2 linked regions of the Caenorhabditis elegans genome follow. The protein of the gene in region 1 purifies or fractionates together with the protein of each later gene. This does not show direct contact. Each region holds a gene or a part of one and is shown on either strand. Other genes may lie near its edges.

Region 1 (3,885 bases):
AAAAATTTGACTACACCACATTTAATGCCGGATGTAAGCCGTCCGGTTTTTTTAATTTCTCAGAGTGTAGTGGGGATAGTTGAAATTTTGTTTTTGTGAGTCAGGAATGCACAGTTAAATTAAATATTTTCACCAATTTAGTTGAAAATCAGAAATTTTTGGCCCAAGCTTTTGGAATAATTTGAAAGTTTTTGAATATACCTATGTATGTGAAACGGGTTTTCTCTGATATTTTGAACAAAGCGCGGAGCTGATAAAAACACAAGACAATGTTTTTCGTCGTGTTATTATGAATCAAAAGAAAAAATTCGAGAAAAATTAATTAGCTTCAAGAAAAAAAAACATAGATGTGTTAGAAATCTCTTTGATTCATCTCTAACCAGCTAGATCAAAACAAGATGTTCTACCGATAGTGAAAAAAATATTTATTCTTAAAACACTTGAATGAAAAGCTATACAAATCATAGTAAATTAACATACAATTGTAGCAATTTCCACTCGTCCTCGGCATTTTGTCAACCTCACTTTTTAAAAACTTGTCGCCTTGCAGAACTAGTGTGAGTGACTTGAATCACAGTTGCTTTGTTTTTCTAAATCTACAAAATGTTGCATCAAGCCTGAAACATACCCGAACCTGAGTCAAATATCCACAGGACACTACTTGCTTTGCAGCAATCCGATATTGAGATGACATGAAGAAGCAAACTATGCAGTGGGTAGCTGTATTTGCAGACAGGAGCAAGGAAAAATTGTAGTAGAAGTAACTCATTATTGATCTAAATCATAAAACAACCCGGTTAAAATTTAATAAAAGATATTTATCGCGCGGCCGACATTTCGCTGGTTGCATCAAAAACGGAGTTCCTCGATGCCTTAGTGGCGTCACTCAGGCAATGATCAACTCACTTCATTCCAGGAACATCGAGAAAAAACCAAGTTGCACCCAATGTTATTCCAAGCGGAAATTCGGCGATAAAAAACGTAATAGATATGTAGAATACCAGTCTAGTAGTTTTTCTAGAGTCATTTACATTTGCAGTGGAAGAAAGATTTTTTCGCTTTTTATCCGATTTCCAGAGCTCGACGACCAATAGGAAAGTTACTATCGGGAAGAGCACGCAGGGAATTATCTGGAATTTAGAAAACCCTGTAGTTAGGCCTAACGAAAAGAAATTACATTTGAAACGAGCCCGTTAACAATTGAAAATATTTTCAAATAATACCCATCATTATCCGCAAACATATCAGATATAACTGTGTAGTAAGTTGTTTCAGTTGAATTACAAAATGATGGCACAGAACTTTTCATTAGTTCATATTCCAGAGAAAAGACCACTGAAATCGGAAGACTCAAAAATAATATTCCGAGAATTGCAAAACCAGAGAGGGCAGGACCGGCTAATTTCTGGTAGCTTTGGTTCAGAGGATTTCTGATGACTAGTGTTCGAATAAGCGCGATGAGAAAGCAAAGCCACGTTGAACACCGCCGGGAATAGTCTTGGAGGACTTGAAACGAAGTTTCGATTATTACAAAAGTATATGTTTCACTTTGAAAACAATCGTAATAATCTCGGAGAAATCGCTCGACGATTTTCTTGAGTTCTGAAAAAAATGTGCAAATGTCTAAAATAGCCACTGCAGTCATAATGATATTTATGGAGGAGTTTCTCATAGATTTTCTTGTCAGAATTGCAGAATGTAAAATGTTTACCAAAATACAAGTAATTGAAATGATAGACTCATATGACAGAACTTTCTCTGTGAAAACTCTGAAACTCTCTGATCTTGAAATACCTTTCTTTTGATTTATATGACACTTACGCCAGATATCTTTCGATTCGGTATAGCCGACGAGCAGTAGAATGCTCAAAGCCCGGAAAATCAATTTGAAGATATTTGTCACTAATCATTGTTGTAAAACTAAAAACTTTTTGATATCAAAAGGAATGGAAAAACAGAAAGCCTCCAGAAATTTAATTTTTTTTTTTGATTTATTGCGGAAGGAATTGAAGAACGAATATTTTACTCAAAAGCTGGAACTAAAAAAAGGGAATTGTCTCAGAAAAATATATTATTAAATCGAAGACGGAAGCTGCAGAAATGATAATTATCCCTTAATTTTCAGGCTACGTTCAGACATCACTTTGAAGCATGGCCGGGTGGCAATTGCTCCAGCAATGGCCAAAGTTGTCAAAAATTTCCGATTTCAGCACATCCCTGTTGTGATATTTGAGCATTCTACTGCTCTTCGGCTTTGTTGATTTGTAGGAAAAAAGGTAAGGTTTGTAAAAAAACATAGTTTATTAAAAAAACTCCTTTTATGAAAAAATTATTTGATAACAATTTGAGTAATTACCACAGAATCTATATCGATATTTTTCAAGGGTTGTTTTGGTTTAGATTTCCAGAAATATGACAAAACGAACTGCCGATAAGGATGATGTATAATGAGTACAGCGACTGTAGATATTAAGCCATGAATTGAAGCATGAAGAATTGACAAATTGGTTAATGCTGGAAAATTGGTTTTTTGTTTAAATTTACCCACAAATTTATTCCGAACCTTGATTATAATAATTAAAATCAACAGCAAACCAAATATAAAAAGCGGTCGGTAACATGAACAAAACAGGAATTGAAATTTGTAGAAGTATGCTTGCCAAAAATTTAATTTGCAACTTTCTCGTGGTCTTTGAAGTAAACGAACGAATCGAGAAAAACAAATAGTAGACACAACATGTCAAGTAAAACAAAATTTGAATCACTTCTACCACAACTCCTAATACTGTGAAGGCAATTAAAAAATGAATATGATAATCATCGATGCACAATACAAAAATATTGGAAGCCGTGAAAAAGTCTTGAGAAGGACATGGAAGCCGTCTGAGAACTTTAAAGAGTGCTTCTTCCTGGTTTGCTGGTATGAAAAATGTGAATGATGCTGCGTAAAATACTCCAATCAGTAGTTTTGTTAGATAGTAAATAGTTTTCGTACTTTTCCGAGTTATTTTGAACTTGTTGAATGGAATTGCGTTATTCCGATTTTCTACCAATATTGTTGTAGATAATAACATGACTGAAACAATTTTTTGATTTTGTGAAATTGATTGCGCGCTGTGTGGTCTGACGCGATCTCGCTCAATGTCGGCTGCGGATTTTTAAAATGTATCTGATGGGAACTGTTCCAGCTTCCAGATTGCTACACTTCCGGATACCTAAACTTACAATTCAGACTCTGAAATGCCAGCCAAGCCTGAATTTTCGGTGGGACACCCAAAAAGTTCAACAAGCCAACTGAAAATCCCGTGAGAGTTGGAAGAAATATATATGGTGTCCCGAGGCAATTCAAAAACACATCCGCCAGACACGTCCTGAATATTTCTACATGTGCACAGTCAATGTTTGTGATGTGTATACTTACCAAACATGGAAATTGAAAAGCGGAATTCGATAGGTTGACATTTCCTTTGGGCTTTTGTATAGGATACAGTAACCTCCAAAAAGATAAACTGGAAGTGAAAATGCAGTCAAAAAATGGGAAGTGTAAGAAAAGTCTTGCCAAGAGCACAAAAACGTATCGCATCTTGGACATGTTGTATAGTTTGTTAAGTAATACTCACGGAGACTAGACATGCTCACACGATTTTCACAAAAAAAAACTGTGAAGTGAATAAACCCAGTTTTTTGGTCGATATGACAGTTGTTTTCTATAAACAAAAAATGACAAAAGTTTTCTGAGAACAGGATGACTCAGTTGGTTATCTCAACAAAAATAAAGACAACTAAGAACCTAGTGGAGTAAATGAGGAAGCACGGTCATTGTGAAACATCAAATACCCTCTGTTTCCAACCTACAAAAGCAATATACTCATATTTTCATAATTA
Region 2 (6,134 bases), 3.5 Mb from region 1:
ATTTCTGTAGTTATGAATATGAAAGGATTGTTGTCCTCGAAAATGTTTCGTTACGTTTGTTAATTTGGATTAGTTCATCTAGAAAAGGGTGCGAATTCAAGTCACATCAACAATTTGTCAGCTAAACAAATAGTCAAGTTTGCAAACTTTCCAGAACTGTTTCCATGATTTCAAAAACCTACCGAAAAGATTGGCAAAATTTCATATTTAATCTTAAGAGATTTAAGTTTCAATTTCATTCATTTTCAGATCTTTTTCCATCTTTTTTGGTGCACTATAAAAACCGTTTTTTGCAGTTTTTGTGCTAAAATCATCTTTCCATCGGCACACACAACGTGATGCTATCAAAAATGAAATTCTCGTACAATTGCCATTTTTGATCGGAAACTCTGTTTGACATTTCACCAGTTTTACATGAGTCATAGTCTGGTGTACACCAAGAATTGAGCATAGATCGTGAACTGGTCATGAGTCATTTCAGGTGATTTTTGAATGGGTCATACACGAGAGAATTTTTTATTTAATAAAAATTATTTTATTGACTGAGTGACAGTAATATATGAAACAGGTTAGAATGATAGTGCAGAATGAGTTCAAATTGGTACAAGTTATGGGTATAAAACCGTTTGTTACAAAATGGGATGGTTCAAACGAAAAGGTTTGAAAGTTCGTGGAACGATTCGGAGAGCAACTTTGCAAACTTTGTTGAATCAGTGTTGGCAGCGGAATGATAACTTGTGATGTTTGCAAAGATTCCGTGGTTTCCTCCAAAGCGATAGCAGATTCCGTAGCCATCAGCAGCGACTGCTCCGAAGCATGCTCCGAGCCAAGTGTTGTCTGAATCAGTGTCCTCGTCGCATTGATTAGTCACGTTTGGAACCTGGAATAGGATATGTTCAAATTGTAAAGTTAAAAAAAAAATAATTAGGAAAATCCAGAAAAAGCAATTGTTGAAAAATGTTTGAATTAAAATCCTTCAGCTCATTATTAGAAAGTTACGTGATACAACTGCCAAATACATAGCACTATGTCATCTTATTTTAATGATTACTCACATGTGAGGTAGATAGCTTCCACTTTTGATTAATATAATTGTCAAGGAAAGGACTCTGAATCCCCGTTCCTTGAGATAAAATATACAGAACAAAGAGATGACGATCGACTCCTTGCCCAACCATACACTTCTTGTTTCGAAGAACATGAGTTTCACAAGCTTTTTTCAAAAGAGCAATCTTGGCTTCTTTCTGAAATTTGAATTTTTCATCGTCTTAATAACTTCAAATTAACTTACCGTTTCATTTGCATTCAACATAGCTTCCACAAATTCACAAGAGTGATCGTTAACTGTTCTCAAAGTTTCGGTCCTCGAGTTTGCAAAGAATCGAGCTGATGCTGGTTCATATGTGAGCACAAATTTGCCTTGATCTCGATAGTTGGCAAGTTGAATAGCCATTTGAATGAATGCATCTGGTGAGACACCACACTTCTTGATACGTCCTTTTCCAAAATCACGGAATGCAAGGGCATACAGGTCAAGGTCATTCTTGGCGATTTGATGAGCATCGTAGCAGCGAGTGATCTCGGAGAGCATCTGAAAAATGATTATTTTGACCTGAAAGGTAAGGCAAAAAATGAAGCTTACCTCTTGATCTGGAACTTCAAAGTTCAATGGAGTAGCAAGCTTCAGAGATTTCTTATCATTCTCTTCAATAACTGCCATTTTCTCTTGCTCTTCAATTGATTTGTATTTCAAAACTTCCAAATCTACATATACAAAGTTTTCCATAATATGATCAAATTCTGCTCCATCCGCAATAGAATGCTCAGTTGTTCCACCGCATCGAGCATTTTTCGAACAAATATAATTAAGAGACTTATCAACCCATCGATTAGTTCCATCTCCAGAAAGACAATTGGCAAGGAAGTTGCTGAGAACTTCGGGTTTCTTCTCATCATATCCATAATCATCATTCTCATCGAGTGTGAAAAAGAATACAGCACACTCGATTTCCTTGAGGATTTGAGCATTTTTCACGTTTCCAAGGAAATACTTTTGACGGTTTCTGTGCCAAGAGTCCCTGGTATCGTGGGTCAATGCTGCGATTTTTCCAATAACCCCTTCCTCCTTCTCGTCTCGGGAAATCATTTCGTGGAAAATTCTAGAATTAATTATTTATATTGATTTTTAAAGCTTTACTTGGAATTTTTATTAAAATGTTTGGCAAGTTGCTGACATTAAATTTTGAAATTTTTAGCATGTTTTTTTGACGCTTATATGCATCTCAGTTCAAAGAAATTTAAAAATCAGTGCACATTTGAAACTCCATATTCACCATTATTCTCAGTTTAAAAAAAATTGAAAATCAGTGCACATTTGAAACTCCATATTTTCCAAAATTCTCAGTTTAAAAAAATTTGAAAATCAGTGCACATTTGAAATTCCATATTTTCCATAAAGATAACCAAATGCGTTTAAAATAAATTTTTGAAATTTCGTGTATATATAACGTGTTTAAAATTTAAATATGTAATTAACTCTGTATTTTTGGCTACCCCCATTTTTTGAAGTTTCAGTAGTTTTAGCGTTGCTCTAAAATAAATTGTTGCTGAGCTTATACTTTGGAATTTTTAAGAAAAAATGGTATTTAACAGTAAGATGTTCGCATTTTTCAGCATCTCTGAATGAGTTGTTTTTAACAAAAATATTTGAATTCAATTTCGAAGATGATATCGGCAGTTGCCAAAGTTAGCAAACGATAAAACTTTTAGCAACTTTTTTCTTCATAGCTTTTGATGAGCTTTTAGAAAATATGCCATTTGCTTTACAATTTCCATTACACCATATGCAATTTCCTGGTTAGAATATTTTTCCAACTTGCGTCTTGCGACTAATATAATAAACTCTGATGTTATAAAATATCAGTAGTGCAGATCCTTTTTCGATTAACTTTTACGTACTTCGTCAATTGTTCCACAGTGTAGATGTTGTTCTTATCATCAACCACGTGAATCTTATAGTATTTTCCACGCAACACCACTACAATGTGCTTCTGAATTCCGTGCAATATCAGCTGATCAATCTTCTTCCCTGGTTCTCGGGTTACTGCATACATATTTTTGTAATGTCTGGTGCAGACAAGTCCGTCGCCAAGCTGGAAACATTCATATTGATGATAAAATGTTATCAAAACAATTGTTTGGTTTTTTTCGGTGCAAGATTGCGACGTGTAACATTCACTGATAAGAAATAGGGCAAAATACAAACGATCAGGAATCACAAAAAAAACATACCGCCTTGTACTGTTGACGATCAATTGCAAGATGCGACATGACTTCAATCCAGGTTACTCGAGCTGCTCTGTGAGCTCGTGTTGCTTCTTTGTCTCGGAGCAAGTCACAATGAGCAACACTGCTATTAATCATAAGTGGGTATCTCCCATGAAGATATGCATACTTTTGCCAGAACGAGGTGACATAGTTGTCGGTGAACAAAGAGTAGATCCACGTGTATCTCTGAAGCTTCTTTCCCTCGTTTTCCAGAAACTCATGTGCTTGCTTGGCGACAATCTCGTACTCTTGTTCTGATAGAATATGTTTCATGGAGTCAAGGTATTCAGAAATAGTGTCTTTGAGAGCTGGTACCGGGAGACTCGGAAGAAGGCGATCACAAGATTCAAGGATTGGTGGGGAAATTGAGAGAATGTGTCGGACAATCTGAAATTTGAACAATAAATTCTGATGGTGTTACAAAATAACTTACACCCCAAATTTTCGTTTTCAAACATGGCTTCTTTGGGTTGTCAAACAAGAATCCTTTGTATGAGAAGTAGAAGTGCTTGAGAAGTTTTCGAAGTGTGAATACTCCTGCGTAGGATCCAATTGCCGCGACTGCAGTGGTTTTTGCAATTTCAGCAACTTCCGATCCGAACTTTGGAAGAAGATCAAGAATCGCATTTTCTGGGTATTTGTAGTGTAGGGTGGCCGCCAGAGCAACGGTTGTGGCAACGAATGGAATCGGTTTGATAGGCCAAAGTGTGTTCTCAATCCAATTCTGAAAATATAGATACTTCATGGTTGTTTGGTAACTTTGAAAAAGGTAATGTTTTAAAAAAAAATTGTTTTCTGTGTTTTGTTTCCTAAACTAGATCCAATTCGAAATTCCAAATTCTACCCACTTAACAACTAGTTTTTCTCTGACTTCCCACAACACGTAGAAAAGGTCAATTGAGGTAAATTAGCCAATTTTCTGATTTGATAAAACTTACGTAGGTCTTGTAGGATGCTTGTTCAATTGGCGATGGGAATTTTGTTGGAAAAGGATATGGTGAACGAACTGTTTTCTTTTTGTTGGACGACATCTGAAATTATGGTAAGGTTTTTGAAATTGAAGAGTTGAAATTGGCAGGATAGGTAATAAAGTTTAGAAGGCTGCAGACGAAAAAACAACAAATTTGATGAACGTGAGTGATGTTGTGGTGATAAAATTGGGGGATGAGAATCACAAAAAAAGAAAACTAATTAATCTACATTATCAATTTAACTTTGCCTTTTCTCCAGTCTCCGTCTACACTTATTGCTGACTTTTTAAAGGAGAAAGATCAAAATTGTATTCTGATCGTATTCTAGTTGACTTTCATTCTCATAATCTTATCGATAGGAAACAAAATATTTCGAGAGAATCATGTGCTGGAAACTCTTCAAAAAATGGCTGAGATAAGAGAACGATGGCTTTTGAAGCAAAAAGAGTAGAGTACAAAGTGGAGTAGAGTGAGCAGAGTCTGCTTCAAGCAAAAAATAAGATGAAAAACGAGAGTTTTGTTCCGTGTTGTTGAATGAGCGAAAAAAAAGCCTGAGCACAACAAATATAGGGTTTCTAAATCCCATCAGAAAATGGAGAGATGTAGAGTGAGAAGGAAATACGGCATATTTTATGAATAGAATTTATTTTCTGTCAACCAAAATTTGGAGAAAAACCTGCAAATAAAGCATTGCGGAAAAATAATTTTTTAGAAAAAACCCGTCATATATTCTTCAATATGTTTTTTATTTGGAAGATTTGAAAAAAGATTTCAGTTTCAAAATTTTTGAAAGGCTTTCTGAAAAATTTTGTAACACAGAACAAATATTATTCCGGAAAAATCAAAAATTCTAGTTAAACAATATGCATTTCTAAAAAAAATTTTACTTTCAATGCTTTATAAAAAACAAAAACAAACTGAAAACAAAAAAGTAGAACACGTATCTGGAAAAGAGGAAAAAGGCAATATTGAACACCATATGGTGTGCACAATTCTAGTCGATAAAAGGAACAATGGGACAAAATCTAGATAGAAGGCCGATCAATATCTAGATTTAAAGGGGTCGTAACTAGATTGTAGTCAGACCTGTGAGGTTTGGTGCAGGTGGTTTGAAAGAATATGGTGCAATTTATCTACTAAAAATAATATATTTTCATTTTGGAAATAAATTTCAGAAGTAAAATAATAAGTTGGGATATCAAGAGTTTTTGATAATTTTAAAAGAATTGGGAGTACTGTTTAAAACCAGTGCTAAAATTACCTACTATAAAAAAAAGTTCAAACATGCCGCATTGCTCCAAATTCCTCAAAAAAACCTGTTTTAAATTTGGTAAAATTGGCTATTTACCAAAATTTTTCCTGAAAAATCTGAAAAATCCAAGAATTTTCGGTAGTTTTAAAATGATATTCGATTATTTCAGATTATCGTACGAGTATATAGATGATATTCCCTGGTGCAACTCTAGATTTAAGTTTGAAAGATCTCCCAGCCCTATCAATTGTGTCACCTGGAAATCGAGCAAGCTACAAAAGAACCCGCCAAAATTCAAATGAAAGTTCAGCTTAAAAACGCACTGGAAAATTATAAAAGTACAATAACCGCCGGTCAAAATGTCGACGAAAAATATGTCCGATAACAGTTTGATGTAGAGTAAGGAAACACACAAGCAGGGCGAAATGATAGAGAGGGAAAGTTTGTCTGGTTGACCTACTATCGGAGAATCTTCACTGCAGGCGGTTATGAGAAAATTCGTGGATGCAAACACAGCTGGTCGAAATGGGAAAGCTTTAGGGTGCTACGATGTAGCCTAGGATTAAAAAAAAAGTTTTTATCAG

What was found. The genes of interacting proteins can lie anywhere in the genome.
Region 2: the proteins of srw-137 (region 1) and cpt-6 fractionate together in Caenorhabditis elegans (co-fractionation; one large-scale study listed by BioGRID). This does not show direct contact.

What each region holds. Positions count from the first base shown.
Region 1 is NC_003283.11:2,942,050-2,945,934, forward strand, and holds srw-137 (G-protein coupled receptors family 1 profile domain-containing protein), read right to left. Parts: upstream 1,911-3,885; coding exon 1,822-1,910; intron 1,770-1,821; coding exon 1,178-1,769; intron 1,131-1,177; coding exon 907-1,130; intron 777-906; coding exon 635-776; intron 591-634; coding exon 522-590; downstream 1-521. Other genes in the region: srh-87 (Serpentine Receptor, class H), read right to left, coding at 2,330-2,514, 2,564-3,076, 3,226-3,371, 3,422-3,633.
Region 2 is NC_003283.11:6,489,564-6,495,697, forward strand, and holds cpt-6 (Choline/carnitine acyltransferase domain-containing protein), read right to left. Parts: upstream 4,359-6,134; coding exon 4,266-4,358; intron 4,052-4,265; coding exon 3,761-4,051; intron 3,715-3,760; coding exon 3,292-3,714; intron 3,153-3,291; coding exon 2,959-3,152; intron 2,160-2,958; coding exon 1,643-2,159; intron 1,592-1,642; coding exon 1,292-1,591; intron 1,245-1,291; coding exon 1,056-1,244; intron 881-1,055; coding exon 647-880; 3' UTR 523-646; downstream 1-522.